Arabidopsis thaliana: one gene and its partners. The protein of the gene in region 2 purifies or fractionates together with the protein of the main gene of each other region. This does not show direct contact. Each region holds a gene or a part of one and is shown on either strand. Other genes may lie near its edges.

Region 1 (7,589 bases), 9.7 Mb from region 2:
GGGAGGCTCGCTGAGACTGAACACTCTTGCAGCATCTACAATGGGAAGGAAGTTTACACTAGCCGAGATTCGTGCAGCAACTAAGAACTTTGATGATGGTTTAGCTATTGGAGTTGGAGGGTTTGGTAAGGTTTACAGAGGAGAGCTTGAAGATGGAACACTCATAGCTATAAAACGAGCCACCCCACATTCTCAGCAAGGGCTTGCTGAATTCGAAACCGAGATCGTGATGCTCTCAAGACTTAGGCATAGGCATCTTGTGTCTTTGATCGGGTTCTGCGATGAGCACAATGAGATGATCTTGGTTTATGAATACATGGCAAATGGAACTCTCAGGAGTCATCTCTTTGGAAGCAACCTTCCGCCATTATCATGGAAGCAACGGCTTGAAGCTTGTATAGGCTCTGCGAGAGGATTGCATTACCTTCACACAGGGTCAGAGAGAGGAATCATTCACAGAGATGTCAAAACAACAAACATACTATTAGACGAGAACTTTGTGGCAAAGATGTCTGATTTTGGGCTGTCGAAAGCTGGACCGTCCATGGACCATACTCATGTGAGTACAGCTGTGAAAGGAAGTTTTGGTTATCTTGATCCTGAATACTTTAGAAGGCAACAGTTAACAGAGAAGTCAGATGTTTACTCTTTTGGTGTTGTGTTGTTCGAAGCTGTTTGTGCTCGAGCTGTTATAAACCCAACTTTGCCTAAAGACCAGATCAACCTTGCGGAATGGGCTTTAAGCTGGCAAAAACAGAGAAACCTCGAGTCCATCATCGACTCAAATCTGAGGGGAAACTACAGTCCTGAATCGTTGGAGAAGTATGGGGAGATAGCAGAGAAGTGCTTAGCGGATGAAGGGAAGAACAGGCCAATGATGGGAGAAGTGTTATGGAGCTTGGAGTATGTTTTGCAGATTCATGAAGCTTGGCTTCGCAAACAGAATGGAGAAAACTCGTTTTCGAGCAGCCAAGCGGTAGAAGAAGCACCAGAGAGCTTTACTCTTCCAGCTTGTTCCAATCAAGATTCCTCAGAAACTGAGCAGAGCCAAACAGGATCTGCTCTTCACAATTCGGCTTAGAGGAAGCAATTGGATTGGCCAGTCCCAAAATAATTCTTTTGTTCTTTTGTTATAATTGATTGTGATCTATCCAGAAGCTCTTTTGTAATAGAGCTTGTAATATACACTGCAAATATAATTTCCTTAAGGTATTCGTTTAATCATTCTTTCCATTTGTTTCCTTCGCTAATAAGTGCACCAGAAGTTGTTTGCTGGGTTTCTTCAACTCATTCTCACGCACAATTACTCAAGGTTCTTTCCAAATAGTAGAGAAAAACTTATTGAAAGAGTTCTAAACGATACAGCAGGCTTAATGCTCTGTCTAAAGGCAAAGACATGTCTTAGCTAACTGCAAAATGTAAAGAGTTACAAATACTTGTTTGGTAAAGCCACTCAAAAACGGAAAATACAGCTTGGTTCCTTTCTCGGAAATGGATAGAGCTTCAAGATCCAGAGAGGACACCGCGGATAGGTGGACAGACGGATGGATCTCATTTCTTCCCACCACCGGAAACATTGAACTTGAAGAAAATGATATCTCCATCCTGAACAACATATGTTTTACCCTCCTGTCTGTATTTTCCTGCGGCCTGCATTAGTTGAAGGGATTATAAATTAGACCAAGTGTCATCGCCATGAACATTATAAATATAATCATGCCTCTTCAACGAGGATATCTTGCACAGTGGAGAGCTTCCTTAACATTTTCATGTCTGTTTTTAGAGGCTACTTACTCCACCGAGACCTTAAGAGATTGTAGAAGGAAAAGAAGTTATAGACAAATACCTTGACTGCAGGTTCATTGCCAAGTTCCTTGAGATCCTCGAATTTCATGACCTGTGACATCAACAACAACATTGGAATAAATCACATTGAATTTCAAAACAGAAAAATATTTGATTAGATATGGTTTGCATTAGGATTCTGCTTTGATATCTACAGGCCTGCATCGATACTAGGAAATCAACACCAAGATGAATATAAGAATATGCAAGCAAGCATTTGTTTTTGTCAGTGAAAACATAAGAAAGATTATATAAACTCTATAACAGAACAAATCATCAAAATCTGGAGGGGAAAGGCTTTACGCATGTAAATTTTAGGTAGGAATAAACTAGTGAATTGACCAAGATTCAAGAGAAATGAGAAAATGGTACCTCAGCACAAATAAATCCTCTCTCAAAATCAGTATGAATGGCCCCTGCAGCTTGAGGAGCCTTTGACTGCCGTCTTATTTGCCAGCACTTCACCTGCAAATCAAAGTATCATTGATGGATGTATTTTATAAACCATCAAATTCCAGTAACAATGCACTACTTGACACATAACACTGATCATGCACTACCAAATAGCTCATTACAGAACAATTATGCTTAGAAGAATTTCACAGAGAACTAGAGACTAAAGCGTGTAGTGAAGCCAAGTAAAGTGGGACTGTTAATACCTCATCAGGCCCTGCTGTAAAGAAGTATATGAGGTTAATTGCTGAAAATCCAGTTTTGATGATCCTCGGAAGAGCACTGTCAAAGCAGCAATGGCCATAAGATTCAATTTAACAGATTCATAAAGAAAAATCATCTTCAGGAGCAACTATTCATTCGCAAGGTGCTGTTCTTTTATTCCTAACCTTTGCAGTTTGTTCTCCTCACAATACTTTGCTGCTTCATCTGGGGCCATATCAGCGAGACTCCTTTCAAACACACCACTGAAAGGAATCATAGTATCACCACCGTGTTCTTGAACCCTACATAATGATGAAACAGATATTTTTAGTTTAGGAGAAGTATAATAAGGTAAGTAAATGTGTAAGCACGTAGCCATATTAGAAACTTTTGCAACAACCAAGGGGCAAAATGTTTTACTTATTATTCAACATAGTTTGTGAAAGGATATATATTAGTACCAGGCATGAATCTTTGGCAAGAACTTGTTTTTCTTCCTCTGATAGTCTCTCTCATTCAGGTTAATCTGTAATTTAAATTTCAGAGTAACCAGTGATCACAAAAAGTCCAACCAAGATGCCTTAATAGTTCTTACACTGAGATGAAACACATAGTTGAAACAAACATGAAAGCATAGAGATCAGAAATAGCTAAGGAACACACTATGGTTAAATTTGGGGGCAAATAGTGTCACAAAAATAGACAGTATGACCTACATTTTGCAAACTGACCCGAAAAAAATTGAGGGAACAAAATTGTCGACTATAGATATGAAAGAAGCAAATGCATTTATCTTGATAGAAACAATGGTAACAGAAAGAGATGAACATTCAAGACTACTCACCAAGTAAACAACGGGCTTTGCAGAAAGCAATTGGAAAGTGTTCAAAATCTCGATATCAGCTGTTTTCCAGTCCCCAAAACGGACATCCTTACCATCTTCTAGCCAAGCTTTTACCTAAACCAGAGAGGTACAGTCATTTTTTCGGCCAATTAATAATTAATGAGCAATAACATTTGCAGAACAAGACTGCATGGTTGTCAAATTATAGCATACCTTTTGCAAGAGCTCAAGTTCTATTTTCAGCTGCTTGTCATTGCTCCTCTTCATGCTCTTCTCGACATCATCAATCTTCTTTCCAACAAATTCAATATCCTAAAGTTGCACCAAAGAATTCAGTTTGAAACCAAAACAACAATGGATGAAATGAAGATCCAACTAATACAAAAAACAGACTACTGTATTAATATACACAGAAAGGATTTCACGAGTTTGGAGATATAGCAGTCAAATATCTGTTTAGAGATTTGATTCACCTTTAGCCGCAACTCTTCAGTAATGGTCTCCAAATCTCTAACAGGATCCACGATATCGTCGACATGGATAATATCAGCATCTTCAAAAGCACCTGCATATGTTCAATCGAAAAGTCACTAACCACTATATAACTGGCAAGATATCTTACTATCAGCAACTATTAAAGAAACATCCCCGTTGTTCAAGAACAGATATGCTTGGAGAGGAAAACATAAACTAACTATCGCAATGGCCCTATAGGTATCAAATGGGAAGAAAAATATATAAAGGTTTTTAACCTGTCTCTCATTGAAAAGCCTGCTCAAGTAGAAATTCAAGACAGCACAAGTAGCAGTACAGTCTAAATTATTCATCAAATCACGCATCACACTAAAACAAAGCTGGCACTAGGAGAAAAAGCGAGAGGGAAAAACCATACGTAAAACATGGAAAATTCCATCAACTGCACGAATATGGGACAAGAAGTTGTTTCCAAGACCCTGTCCTTCATGAGCTCCTCTAACAAGCCCAGCAATGTCATGAATTTCCAAGAAAGCTGGAATCTGAGGCATCAAAACAGACAGAAGTCAGCCCATTCATAAAGTAATTCAGATAGTAGTAATCTCTTCCTTAACAGCAAGTCATGAAATAAAGTTACAAACTTACCTCACTCTTAGGCTTGTAAGTTTGGCAAAGCCAATCGAACCTCTCATCGGGGATATTCACACGTGCCTCATTAGGCTCAATGGTACAAAAGGGGAAATTCTCAGCTGGAATTGAAAGCTTTGTAAGAGTGTTGAAAAGAGTAGATTTTCCAACATTTGGTAACCCAACCTGCGATGCCACAAACAATTCCCATAGTGAATAACATCAATACTTCTCCATATCATCATATCAACCATGAACAATCAACCTTAATCACTGTATCAAAGAAGCAGTTTCTTAAATATGGATTAAACATCTAAAAGAGTACAGTGACAAACACAACGAAACAAACAATATCATCATGCATCACTGATGAGTTAATAGATCTCTCCCGGCAAAACTCAGAAGAAGAAAAAAAAAAAAAACTTTTATCGAGGAAAGTATTGCGATGAGCAAATCTACCATTCACCATTCGAAATTAATCAACTTGGATTCTAAAAGAGAGATGAAGAGAAAAATTACAATTCCGATCTTGAGGTGAGAAGAGAAACGGCCAAGAATAGGCCTCTCTACGGGACCTGCATCTTTAGCTTTGGCTTTCGGAGGCATCTTTCTCAAAGTCTCGAGCTTGAAAGTGAAGCGAAGCTCTAAGATATTCTAGGGTTTTTGCTGATTAACAAAGCCTAGCAGAAGAAGCTACAAGACGCCGACGCCGAGGTTAAAGAGAGATTGCTCAGCTGGTTTACGGACCGGTTTAAATCGGAGGGTCAATTCCCGGTTTACTTTTAACCATTTGCGGGACATTTACCAAAATACAAAGAGCTATTTTTAACCAATTTTGTGGACAAAGTAAACCCAATATTGAACACTAAACCGAGAAATCAATCATTCAGCATTTCAACTTAACCAAATTAAACCGAAACTCAAATTAGGTAATCATAAACCAACTGACTAAATTTTACTTCATAGATGTTCTTCAAAATTTTGCTACAAAACCACATGCGATCAGATAATACCACAGACTCGCACAAAACTCATGTCAACTTCTTTTTTTTAGAGTTTACGCACTAGCTAAGAGATTGTAATAAGAAACCTACATTGCAAAATTGCATTCCCTCTCTCTATGACTATTAGATTAAGAAGGATTCAGGAGGACTAGTGGATGGTCTGATTCTTGAAGGCATCTTCAAGAGCCTCTCTGTTTCTCGCATGAAAGAGTGTTTCGGAGTTGTAGACATCGTGTTCATCTCACTATCAAGTTCAACGTCATCGTCAGGTTCCTCCGCACTGTCTGCATCTCCATTCACTATGACCTCATCACAAAGCTCTTCGTCACCATCTTCTCCATAAGTCGTTTTCACCATTGACCAGAAGTTGAAGTTCGGGGAGATGTAGCTTCAAGAATTGACAAGAAAACACGTGTGAGAAAGAGAGTTCAAGCCTATCCAATGCAAATACTTTGATTCATCACTTGTTTTATCATATTAAAATAATTTTCAATGTCATTTCAAGACTGTAATTAAGATGTATGCAGTAGAATTTGTATCAAATATGCCCAGGTCGGGTAAATTCATCCAGTGAGTCAAGAACCTTGTGTAAGATTCTCACATTGATTTGTCCTTACTTTGGAAGAGAAAAAATAATCAAGAGTAAAGATAGCAAACCTGCTAGACATTTTCAACAAGCACGGGTCAAACGGGAAGAATGTGTCAAGCCTTTCAAAGCCACCAAAAGCACGAGAGAGCTCAGACTCGTGTAGGTCATCGAAAATGAAGGATTCTGAGACAATGAACAGACCACCAGCTTTGGCTTGTTTAAGGAACTCGGAAACTACAGATGGAAGACACACCTGTTCACACAAAATGAATGGTGCAAGCATAATGCATTTGATACTTGGAGTGAAGACTACTTAAAATAACAGTTGAGCTATGAGAAGAAAATGATTAGTGTAAGTCACCCACCAGTAGTGGGTTTAGTTTGTGAGATAAAATTGACTCCAATGATCTAAACTGCGATTGAAAGCGAGGAATCTCCACTATGGATCTCATTCGGAAGCATAGCACATACAAGATTGCCTACAGTCATAGAAAAGTAACAACTTTAAGCGATACATGACATAATAGCATATGATCCCAAACGCCAATAAGCTTCTGGTAAGGGTGTGAACATTAACAATGATTGATAACTAGAGACGTCAATGATTTCACAGAAGAGTTCTTAAGGAATCAAAAGCCATAAGATGGTCTTAAACTTGGACTATACCTGACATCCAGAATAGAACACTTGATGTGCTTCTGGCTTCACATCATCATTGCATGTTCCGCAATATTCCGCACACTCGTCCACCAATCTAGGATTTCAGCAAAAGAGAAACTATGTTACAACAAAGCGAGACTTAAATCAGATCAAACAATTACATTTTCCATTTTTTAGCAATACGTACCTTTTCAACATGCTAGCCACAAAAGAAGCAGGCAAAAACTTTCCACGAGACAAATAGCTAGCTAGATAAGCCACTGCACTCATCCTGTTAAGTATAAAGAGAAAACAAAAGAATACACAAGTGGTGATTAGAACAATATTAGCTTCATATCATGCAGAGAAATCTTTACCAAGAAGGACAAGATTAAACTCGCCTAGTAAGTCGACATGTGTTGCTGGAGAGATATATGTCCAACAGCTTACTGGCAAATCTCACACCACAATTTTCAGGATCTAGTGAGCATGCATAGAACATCAGAAACTGCAGATGAAAGTAGAGTGAGTCTAAGCCAAGACATCACATGCCGATAATGAACTAATGCTAGAAGCCTACAATGAAAACTTTGTAGTATGTAAGGTGATAGCTTTGATGCCTACCTGTGAAAATTTTGTTTTGTATGTGTTCAGAATATAGTTCTCGAACGACTTAAAGAGGATTTCAAATACCTATGCCAAAATGAAAAACAGAAACACCAAAAGATCAATGAATCTACCACAAAGGAAAGGAAAAATATGTTGAACAAGTACCATTTGGTGCCATACCTCATCCAAACGATCAGAGTTTTGACAGGATTCTAGATGATGAAAAAATAGGACCATCAATTTGTCCAACAGTTCAGAGACTACATTTCCACCTGAAGTATTTTGTTTTAGAGCCCCCACT
Region 2 (6,052 bases):
TACTTCCATGGTCGTTAGAAGCTCGGTAAGCAAAACAAAACTGATAATTCTGTTTTTAAACAAAGCATAACTTTTGTATGAAACTTTATAGCTAATAGTGTTCTTGTGTTTTTTAATTCGACCAGGTTCATGTTTTACCGAGGGAGATTATGGGGAAATCAACATTTGGAATCTCAGTGATGATGATGAAGTGGCTACCTTTATGGCTCGTAGACAAGCTTCTGCTTATCTTATCGTGGTTGGTTCTAGGGAGCTTATCAAACTATGGGCTTAAAAGGCCTGACATCGGCCCAATGGAGCTTAAAAGCATGACAGGAAAGACGCCGGTTCTTGACATCGGTGCTCTGGAGAAGATAAAATCCGGCGACGTAGAAATTGTACCTGCAATCAAACAGTTCTCGCGTCACCACGTGGAGCTCGTAGATGGTCAGAAGCTAGATATCGACGCTGTGGTTCTCGCCACCGGTTATCGTAGCAACGTCCCTTCTTGGCTTCAGGAAAGTGAGTTCTTTTCGAAAAATGGGTTTCCGAAATCGCCGTTTCCAAACGCGTGGAAAGGGAAATCGGGATTATACGCGGCCGGATTCACGAGAAAAGGGTTGGCTGGAGCATCAGTAGACGCCGTTAACATCGCTCAAGACATTGGAAATGTGTGGAGAGAAGAGACCAAACGACAGAAGATGAGAAGAAATGTGGGTCACCGAAGATGCATCTCAGTTGCTTAAGCCTCACGTTAGGGGTTTTCAATAGGATATATATAAATAAATCGATTTATTTGTAAAAATATACAAAAGGAAAAATGTAAAATAGAGTAAAGAGAGCCCTCTCCTGAAGTCCCCGCCTGTTTTTTTTATTACACAGCTGTAGGGGCGTTTTGTAAAATTAGGATGATGTGGCTCTCTTATTTTTTTTTTATTACCAATTTACCATATATGCTTATGTAAAACCTTTATGGAGGTAAATCAAAATTAGTGTTTGTCTCATTGGGCATTTCCTTCAAACAAATACAAGAGAGAGAAGTTCGAAGAAACTTGTTAACAGGCTTAGCTCGTTATAGAAATTGGCCCATTACAAAGAGGCCCAGATTTGTTGATGGCATGTACAGATTTGGAGGCAACACCGTCCGATTTAAGACCTACTCAGACCTATGTTGAACCTAGCCCGGTCGAGTAAAGATTTTGATTCGAAGATAGCCTTTTGACTCAAAAGTTCAAAGTTTTGTTTGATCATTAGATAAGAAACAACAAAAAGGTGGATTTTCTAAGTAGCACACACTCGCAAGAACTCTTTTTTATCTTTTTAGTCTTGATCAAAAACTGGATATAGAGAATCATACTGCAACAAAACAATGCCCTACGAGCTTTTCGATTTCTCCTTGAAAATGCGAGGGAGAATCTCATGTGCGCCGATATCCAGAGCTTGCGGTTCCCTGAAATCAAAACTCCAACTCTTTTAATCTTGAGTTAGATGCAAAAGTTTGATTCTTTAATACACCCAAGAAAATTCAACAGCTTGTGTGAAGTCAAGGGTACTTCATCAAATTCTTAAAGCACATTGCAAAACTAAACATAATAAGTGGTTTAGAGAAAGAACCTGCACAAAGTTTGTCCCTTTTCTTTCGAGCTAGATATGAACCAAACTTTCCGAAGAGAGGGAGATTCAAACTGAACAAAGATTCCATCATTTGGTCCGAGTTTCCATTTCCTTGAGCCTACACCTTTCCACACCTGTGAGACATCGTTTAACCGTCAGTCCATATATACAAACCAGAAAGAACAAGCTTAGAAAAAGACAGATTTGATTCACCTGTGGGTAGGATATACTACTCTTTGGTGTTACTAAGCAAGCAGCCTTGGAAAATGACTCTTCTGCGTATTGCCTCAGATACGTAAAGCAGTTACTGTGCGTGTCCGGAGACTGAAAAGCCTGAAGTAGGGAAACAAAGTAGTTTTATCAGACAAAAAAAAGATTTTTGATAAGATTCAAGTTGGATGCCCTTAATACCTTATCGATGTTGACAGCTGGTGCGTACTTGTCTGTTTGTGTTTTCTCTTTGTCAAGAAGGAAATAGACTCTAGTATCGACTTTAGATGTCTCGTGCCACGACTTCACAGCTGTTTCCATAGTCTCAACAATAAAAGAAAACATCTCTTTCCAACACTCTTCAGTTCCATAGTTTTCAGACTGCATGTGTTAAATTCAGAATCTGAGTTGGAACAATCAAATATAAGCAACGAGGAAGGCTTAGACTGATTCTCTGGAATTTCACAAGAAGAGAAAAAGAGGACTAACCATTTCAGATTTAAAACTTTCAAGATGCTTGGCCATGTCAACATTAGATCTTAAATTCTCAAGTTCTTGAGCTCTCTGTTTCTCCTTCTGCAACTGACCGAGCCTCTTGATCTTTCTAGAAACTTCTGTGCTCTGTGGGTTGTACTGCAGAGCCATTTCAAATGCAGCCAAAGCCTGAGATACAATCATCACAGTTTTAACTACCATGGAATAGCTTTGTGATAGAAAAAATTTAGATGGAACCAAAATAAGAGAAACATATACATCTTCGTATTTTTCCATGGCTTCAAGCACACAACCTTTCCTGAAGTACCCCTGAAGAAGATAGATCAGAAAAACCATCGTTTACGTAAAGACACACACAGATACTTTATGTTATTGATGATGAAACCGAAAGCACAAAAAAACATTGTCATGTATTGATTTTACCTTCTCCCACTGAGGGTTGAGTTTAATGGTAGTCTCAGCATCTGCTAAGGCCTTGCTAAGCTTAACTAGACTCAAAAATGCAGCAGCTCGGTTACTGCACCGGATAAACAAAAAGCTTTATTACACTTTAAAAATCTACTCACATTAACACATAACACTGTTCCAATTCACAGAACCTTAAAACCAAAAACCTCAACTTTTAGTATTCTAAATCACAATTGATCTTCCCAAATATAACAAAAATGTTGTAATACTATTATTCAAGTTAAAAGCCTAATTTGTCTCCACCTAAACAATCTCATTTTCTAAACATATCGCAAGAGAACAAAATCAGATCTTTCTGAGAAATCAGCTCAAATAGAATGAAACCCAACAATCAGATTCGAAAGACTGTAGAAGACAAGTAAAAGGAAACCTGTAAAGAGTAGCGTTAGAAGGATCGAGCTTGATGGCTTGAGTATAGAGAGCTGCGGCTTTAAGAAAGTTGCCAGCTTTGAAGAACTCATTTCCTTTTTCCTTTAGAGATTTCTCTGCTTCTCCACCATTCGTTGCCTTGCCTGCTTTCTCGGCCATTATTTCTAGAGGTTTGTAAGAAAGCCAAAGAACATGAATCCCCCAAGTGTGATTTGCTTTTCTATTTTAGGGTTTACAGAGGGACAAGAGACTTCCACTTCTGCTCTGTTCCTCTTTTAGTTTTTTCTCTAAATATTATTACTTTTTGTTCATCATTTGAGTTCTCTCACTTGTGCATATATTTTTAATTAAACATAACTAAGAATATTGAACATATGGAAAAGCCCAATAACGATTAAGTTTGAACTAATACCTTGAGCAATTTCAGTTCTAGAATCATTGAAGAAATGAAAAGCCCAAGAAAATAAATGGGCCTCAAATTTGTAAATACAGTAAAAAAGATTCGGCCACATCCCACTCCACCGACAACCGACGGTTCAAAGACGGTAGTAGCTAGCATCAATTTGACTCCATTTCGTTTGAATTATCCCAAATCCATTATCTCTGTTTTTATTCCACGTAGACTAGTAAATAATAATTTCATTTCTCTAGTAGAATAGAACAAGTCATCTGTTAACTTCAAAAAAAAAGTCAAGATTTGGTTTGAGGTTAATCTATACAGAAAATATTATATAAGCTCTTGTAAAAGAGAAAACGTAAGAACCCATAAAGTATTCGAATCATATTTATGAGAGTTTGGTGGGAATTAATTTGGTAGCACGTAGCCTGTATTTTTCAAAATTAGGAAAACACTTATTTAACTTCATTAATTACAAGTGCTGATGGAATGAATAATCAAAAATTGTCACATTTAGTCGCTAAATTATTTGTATCAAAAAATCAATTTGGAAATAAACTTACGCAGGAATAATAGTTTTCCAACATTAAAAGAAAAAGATTATAATATAAATAAACAAATAAAATAACGCGTCCTCTCTTTTTTTTTTTTGCTCAAAAGTCTAAACCCTTGGTATCGAAGCATTTGGTTTAACAGTTTGAATCTTCAATTAATCTCAGATTTAGATCGAGAGAGACCAAATTGAGAGCAAGATCTTTGCATTGTTCATCTCTTGCTTTGTAATGCCGTTGTTCTTCATCGTAACCGACTCGGTGGACGCGATCAATTGACTCGTTCTCTTTTGGATCCTTGTTGACTCGGCGAGCTTGGCTTAGGAGACATGGGAGGTGTGCCTTCAACGCCGCGAAAAACCGGTGGTGATGATGTTTCGGTGGCCGAGTACCTCATTGCCACTTTTGTTGGGGAGAAATCGTTTCCTTTAGCGTCTGATTTCTGGAACAAGCTACTTGAGCTTCCGTTGAGTTCTCGCTGGCCTAGTGATCGGGTTCAACAAGCCTGTGAACTTTTCGGTTAGTGTTGAAATTGTAAAGGATGTGTTGTCGAATTCACTTTGAGCTAATGAAATTGAATGTTGATGATGACCTAGTGAAAGTAGGAGGATGATCTTATTTTCTTTTTTTGTTTCAGCACAAAGTAATGGCTACACTAGGCACCTTGCAAAACTATTGATTCATCTGTCCTGGTGTTTGCAAGAGCTTCTTCAAGCTTCAGATGATCAGTCTTCTCTCTATAAGAAAGCTGTTAATGCAACATATATTTCATCCGTCTTTTTAAAGTATTTGATTGAGAATGGAAAAAGTGACAGTCTTCAGGAGTTGCATCTTTCTCTGGACGAAAGTGAACCAGTTCCACATGGATTTGTAATGGGTAATGACTCTCATAATAGTTATTTCCAGCGTTAAGGTATTTCTAAGCTGGCTAATTAAGAGTGTTTTGATGGCAGATCAAGACATCCAAAATTTTGTCATGCATAGTGTTCTGAGCTTCATTGGATCAAATGAAGTGAGGTATGCCAATGCTGATTCTCTATATCACCTATTCCTTATATGTTTCAGTATTAGATGTTTCATTCTCCTGATTTTCATCATTTATTTGGCAAGTCCCAACTCGTATGTTCTACATCAGGAACTTCTCAACTTCATGCTTGTTACAATGTCGACACAGCTTCTCTCTGGACCTTCACATGGACCAACAGATGCGAACCCTTTTATTGATGCAGCAATGACTCAGGTAACCAAATTAATTACTTTTTTCTTTGTCTTTAGCATAGATATTACCTCATATCAATTTCCGCCATTTCCTTTGGTTCAACGATTTTCAGGAAAAGTCTCTAGTTTCTCTAGTAGTCAGAAGGTTGCTACTTAATTATATTTCCCGACACCGTACTCCTCCAAATGCAAAATCCTATATGTATTCTGATGGAGATTCACAAGGCATTTTAGAGAGAGTTGGTTCTGCAGCTGGTAGGTGTTCGTATATTACTTCATATATGATGTATTATTGTACTAACTTGTAAATGTTGATCTTTTTCTATTGCCTTTCCGACTTTCCGTTCAATTATGTTTTCCTAACTAGCTACATGAAACAGTCCATGTACTCATGAAAACTTTTCTGTTGCATATACAGCAAGTTTAGTGCTCTTGCCTTTGAACTATCTTGTAAGTAACAGTGGCGGATCTAAAAATCCACTAGCGGAGTGCAGCCTGCATGTTTTACTTATCCTAATTAACTATCACAAGTCTATCATGAGTGATGAGTCTATGACGGATAAAAGTGATGACAGTGCGACCTCAGAATCAGTTTCTAAAGTCCATGTATTTTCCTCTGACAATACTTTTAGCAAGGCTCTAGCAAATGCTAGAGATGTTGAATGTGAGATTTTTTTTTCTTCATTATTCTGAATAAGAAGAATTCGATGTGTTTATCTAAACTATTACTCTGATTGCAGTTGACCGCTCA
Region 3 (5,004 bases), on a different chromosome or scaffold from region 2:
CAATAATTATGGAAATTTTACAATTAATTATTAGTTACAGAAGGAAAAAGTTTTTTGTCGTGGTTAGGGGATTGTCGGTTCTGTTGATTTGAGATAGTGTGGCGATTTTGTTTTCTTTAAAAAACCAAAATTTAGGTCAAATTCGATTCTTTCGTTTCTCTCGATATAATCTGATTTTGATTTGAATGTTTCTTGTTGTTGAAGAATGTCCACCTCGACGTTGCAATCGGAGCAAAGTATGGAAATCATTACCCCACCTGCAGATATCGGAACTAGAACTCTGGTTGACAAAGCTGCCCAATTCGTCTCCAAAAAAGGGTTAGAATTTGAGACTAAGATCATTGACTCTTATCCTACTGATGCAAAATTCAACTTCTTGAGGAGCACGGCAGATCCTTGTCACACATATTACAAGCACAAGCTTGCTGAATACTCTTCTCAGAATCAAGACGGAGCTACTGATGAATCAGACATCAAAATCTTTCACGCACCTCCAAATGTCACAACTACAGCTATTGTTGAGACAACATCATGTTTGGTTTCTCAATTCGGGTCGGAGTTTGAGATGATGGTTAAGGACTCTAATACAGATGATGCAAGATTTAACTTCCTGAAAAGCTCTGAAGATCCTTATAACGTATTGTACAAGCAAAAGCTTGATGAGTACTCATTAGATCCTCGCGACGCATATTACCAGCACAAGCTTGCTGAATCCATTTCTAAGTATCACCGTGAAGCTACACCAAAGTTGAGCCCTATCCTCCTCCTCAGTCTCAATTCAGTCTTCAGTCTCAAAGATTGGTCCTGCCTAATCTTTTACAGTTTAGACTTGTTAAAGAGATGACATTCGAGGAACTTGACACCGTTAAGGTCACAGCGCAGTTTGTGGCATGGTATGGGGATGATTTTAGAGGGTTTCTGATGGAAAGAGTGATGACGGAACCTCAGTTTGAGTTTATGAAGGCAACTGATTACAGGTTCTCTTTTTACAACGAGTTTGTTGTTGCGTATTCGCAAGTATTAAATCCACCCAAATATTTGAAAGATAAGCTGAGGGGTCGTGCTGCTTATACAGTAATAGGTCACTTGCTCATTACAATGTCAGAGGAGGAGATATCCTAATACTGCACGTCGTGGTCTGAGACAGAGAGATGGACAATGCTTGTGCAGGCTAGAACAAGCATGCATTTTATTCACTTAATATTGTTTGTTTCTAAAGCTTTGGACTTATAATCCTGATACAGTTATCAATTCCATAAATTTTACCAACATATGTCTAAAGCTGAGAGATACGTATCTTAGACTACATACTTGATTTGAAACAAACAAAGATATTCTTATTGTAAGACACTAATCAAAATGTAAATTAAGAAATGGTACAAAGTAGTAAGTATTATTTTAAGATCCATAGAGAAACTGTCTACAACTTAGAAGAAGGTTTCTTGGATCCACGTCCGGCTATAAACTCCTGCATCTTTCTAAACTGTTCCTTCGTCATCCCACTGTAATACGCGTGAGCTCGCTCCTACGATTTCAACAACAGTTTTAGACTTTCTCACAATCACAAATTGATCAACAAGTTAAAAATGGCAGAATGTTTAACCTTTTCTAGTGTGAGAGCATGCCCAAGATCAAGCTTAAGTCCATCATTGATAACGGATTTAATCCTCAGAACCATGCCTTGTTCATTCTTGATTATAGCCTCTGCGATTTCTCTAGCTTTCTTTAACGCTTCTCCTTCTTCAACCACATGGTTTACAAACCCTAACTTCCCAGCCACGTCTGCTGTCAGTGGCATCGATGTTAAAGAAACTTCTCGAGCTTTGTTTGCTCCGATGATCCTCGACAGCTTCTGAGACAAACCCCATGAAGGAAATATCCCAAACCTTCAAACACAAAACAGAGGATTCACATTCATATCATCAAAAACATTCATCTCAAGGCAACAAAATTTTGAGAGCATAAACAAATGAGATTGAATTTTAAGATGTTGAATTGAGTAGAGCTTGAAACAACATGATTTTCTATGATCCAAAGCTAAAATCTGCAACTATATTTGACCTAATTGCTAGATACCAGTGCTATTGATAACTATGCAAACGACGTCGTAAGAGAAGAAATCAACCTGGCGTGAGTATCCATGAACTTAGCTCCTCTAGAAGCGACCAAAATATCACAGGCCAAGGCGAGTTCAAACCCGGCGGTGATGGCAAAACCGTTAATAGCTCCGATGATCGGTTTACGTAACCGCTCCATCTGCACAACCGGGTCGGTTTCCGGATCCTTCACGTCTCCTTTGAAAACAGACTCCGCCGCAGTCAAATCAACGCCAGAGCAGAAAGATCGACCTGATCCGGTGAAAATCACGACCTGGACCGATTCGTCGGAGTCCATATCCTTGAATGCCTTGGCGAGATCAACCATCATCGCTCTCGTGAGTGAATTGAGAGATTTCGGACGGTTGATTGTGATGACGGCGATCCCGCCTGATTCTTTCTTCACCTGAATGAGATTTTCCGATACTGTTTGATCCATTTTTCGACGATTCCGATTACAATTGAACGGATTTCGAATTTTCCGATCGGGTTTTTAAATAGAGTCAATCAGGAAGAGATGACGAAGAACTTGGGTAAGTGTGCCATTGTTTTGTCGTTGTTAGTAAACAACGTCCCGTTTTTTGCTTCTATTTTAGACGCTGCGTATTTTGTTTCTCAAACATGAAAACGGCAAGTGGAGAAAGTACAAACACAAACCATGAGTAAACCGGATCGAACCGGTCTGATTTCTGTTCATCTGTTAATAAATGGTTTTGTTAAAAAACTTTTATGCACCATTTGCATAATAGACTCGTTAATTTTTTTTTATTTTTTTTTTTGTGTGCACAGACTCGTTAATGTGTTTTAAAAAACAATCTTCTGTTAAAGTATAAGGTTCACCACAAAACGTTTGAGCTCTATACAATTACTAAAAATAGTTAGAGTAAGTTAAAAACGTCAATGATCTGATCTCAACTAGTGAAAGACACATCCACTTGGTACAAAACCTTGATCTGAAACTCCTTGAAACATTGCCCCATGAAAAGGAGAGAAGATGCTTCATTCATCATGCAATTATTTTTATAGAAGTAATTCGTTTCACCATTAATATGTTCACAATTGCAAATATTTATTTGTTTAATCTTTTAAAAGAAGGTCGGACCAAGATCAGTAATTTACTTTGCCGATGTCAACTTTTTAACCCGTTTGTTCTATTATCAGAAAAGTTGAGACCTTTCATAGCAAAAGTTCAAACTAAAGACATTGGGTTCAACCTCCTTTGGAGGATACCAGCTAACACCACTATCCGTTAATTTATCAAGCATTAGTTTTAATCACCATTATACGTTAGGTCAAAGATAACGAATTACAATCGTCTACCACGTCAACGGTTTGTATTACTTCTACAAGTAACCGATAGTGCATGTTTCATGGGAGCTTCTATTATTTAATAACACGTTTTATTGACTATTAATTACTATTATCATCATGAAACAATTAATGTGTATAGTCTTATCTTGATAACAAGTTGTTTTGTTAATTTAAAATCCACCTCTTGCTTCTTTTGTTGTTTACTACTCTATTTAATACTACTATCTATTAACATGTTACAAACAAACATATAGTATTGTATTTTTTTTCTTTTTTTTTTTTTTTTTTTTTGCTCAACATCAACTTTCATTTATCAAATGATTACATCCAATTGAAGGTACATAACATTCTCCTCTATCAAATTGGACCCAAATGCAATGGTTTGATCTAGTATCACGCTGAAACACTATCGGATCCAGCGCTACCTGATCGAGGAACCATTGCATTTTTAAACCACAATGAGATAGATAATACTCCACAAATCAGAATATTATCATCTCTTTGACCACCTACACAGACTCTAAGCGACACGAGAACAACTACTAAAACGGAAGAGACCAAAACCTAGTCTGAAGTACAAAGTAAATCCATACTATTAGTCCCTATTGATCAGAATGTAATCCATGTCCCAATAGCATTACCACCCGGAGACGCATCATCAGAAAGACTCAATATCCCCGGCTTTCGTTGTTCCGGTCCTAAACCAAAAGCGGACCATATATCCGACTGACCCGACCAATGATACAAGGCAAACCAGCAAGGCTAGAGCTTTTCCCGAGCTAACCAATCAACCGTAAGCTACTAATCGATTAAGGATAACACATTGGAGCCCGGATTAGTAAGACCTCACCTAAACGGTGCATTGCCGGAACGATCTCGCCGCACATGCCTTGTTGCCTCGCTCCATCGCCGGACTGGACCAGACATTGAGACGGTTCACTAGATCTCCGGATTATCTCGGCCACCGGCGACCACAGCTCCATCCCCACGCCTGGAAGACTCTGACTCTGCCTCTGTTCATCCGTCGGCTTGGTTCTCCTGGGGGATACAGGGATCGAAACAGCTGCTCGGAGCAGCTCCGAACCCCACCAGTCTCCTGGATAAGGATCGAGCCGAGAGCTCTCTCCTCTACCTACTGCCTCCGCATCGTCACACCGTCGTCGTTGAGCTTCACCTTAGCCTCCGGAGAAAGGAGCAAAGAGTCGACCTTATTTCTAAACTAATAGACAAGACAACGAAAAAGAAAAGGGGGGAAGCCCTCTCACACCGCCGGCAAAAGTCACAGGCGGCGGAGAGGCGGCGACGGCTCAGATCTAAGTTTTTTCTCAGAAAAAAGCTTTCGTAGGATATCCAACTTTAGTATTGTATTTTCTAGAGTCTAGACACAACATTTAATTTTTCACAAGCTTGTATATTGATCATCTTTTATTTTTTCCTTTGCTATTTTTATTATGTGGCTTGACTTTGAGTTTGGTGGGAAGTTGCATTCCAGTCTTGCGAGTAAAACATTAAGTTCTCTACTATCGCAAGAACAAAAAAAATCCCCACGTTTCTTTCACTATTAACAACATGGGTTTTGTGTATATACACGTAAGGT

The links.
Region 1: the proteins of TPR3 (region 2) and AT1G30580 fractionate together in Arabidopsis thaliana (co-fractionation; one large-scale study listed by BioGRID). This does not show direct contact.
Region 3: the proteins of TPR3 (region 2) and ECHIA fractionate together in Arabidopsis thaliana (co-fractionation; one large-scale study listed by BioGRID). This does not show direct contact.

The regions. Positions count from the first base shown.
Region 1 is NC_003070.9:10,830,402-10,837,990, forward strand, and holds AT1G30580 (GTP binding protein), read right to left. Parts: upstream 5,235-7,589; 5' UTR 5,054-5,234; coding exon 4,967-5,053; intron 4,634-4,966; coding exon 4,466-4,633; intron 4,363-4,465; coding exon 4,239-4,362; intron 3,912-4,238; coding exon 3,820-3,911; intron 3,659-3,819; coding exon 3,560-3,658; intron 3,461-3,559; coding exon 3,347-3,460; intron 3,029-3,346; coding exon 2,964-3,028; intron 2,805-2,963; coding exon 2,688-2,804; intron 2,581-2,687; coding exon 2,505-2,580; intron 2,311-2,504; coding exon 2,218-2,310; intron 1,898-2,217; coding exon 1,847-1,897; intron 1,651-1,846; coding exon 1,552-1,650; 3' UTR 1,272-1,551; downstream 1-1,271. Other genes in the region: HERK2 (hercules receptor kinase 2), read left to right, coding at 1-1,081; AT1G30590 (RNA polymerase I specific transcription initiation factor RRN3 protein), read right to left, coding at 5,575-5,839, 6,109-6,293, 6,406-6,519, 6,707-6,794, 6,888-6,971, 7,081-7,187, 7,304-7,372, 7,469-7,589. UniProt on the Arabidopsis thaliana protein: Hydrolyzes ATP, and can also hydrolyze GTP with lower efficiency. Has lower affinity for GTP. Exhibits GTPase activity.
Region 2 is NC_003070.9:1,105,264-1,111,315, forward strand, and holds TPR3 (Tetratricopeptide repeat (TPR)-like superfamily protein), read right to left. Parts: upstream 3,463-6,052; 5' UTR 3,295-3,462; coding exon 3,137-3,294; intron 2,816-3,136; coding exon 2,722-2,815; intron 2,608-2,721; coding exon 2,557-2,607; intron 2,467-2,556; coding exon 2,293-2,466; intron 2,185-2,292; coding exon 2,005-2,184; intron 1,927-2,004; coding exon 1,807-1,926; intron 1,728-1,806; coding exon 1,594-1,727; intron 1,430-1,593; coding exon 1,354-1,429; 3' UTR 1,091-1,353; downstream 1-1,090. Other genes in the region: YUC9 (YUCCA 9), read left to right, coding at 1-25, 126-725; AT1G04200 (dyggve-melchior-clausen syndrome protein), read left to right, coding at 4,413-4,602, 4,721-4,960, 5,037-5,100, 5,194-5,323, 5,415-5,556, 5,720-5,965, 6,042-6,052.
Region 3 is NC_003075.7:9,175,444-9,180,447, forward strand, and holds ECHIA (enoyl-CoA hydratase/isomerase A), read right to left. Parts: upstream 2,697-5,004; 5' UTR 2,536-2,696; coding exon 2,126-2,535; intron 1,887-2,125; coding exon 1,604-1,886; intron 1,526-1,603; coding exon 1,421-1,525; 3' UTR 1,123-1,420; downstream 1-1,122. Other genes in the region: AT4G16200 (SWAP (Suppressor-of-White-APricot)/surp domain-containing protein), read left to right, coding at 206-747, 798-1,122; AT4G16215 (uncharacterized protein), read right to left, coding at 3,801-3,949, 4,049-4,133, 4,253-4,390. UniProt on the Arabidopsis thaliana protein: Straight-chain enoyl-CoA thioesters from C4 up to at least C16 are processed, although with decreasing catalytic rate.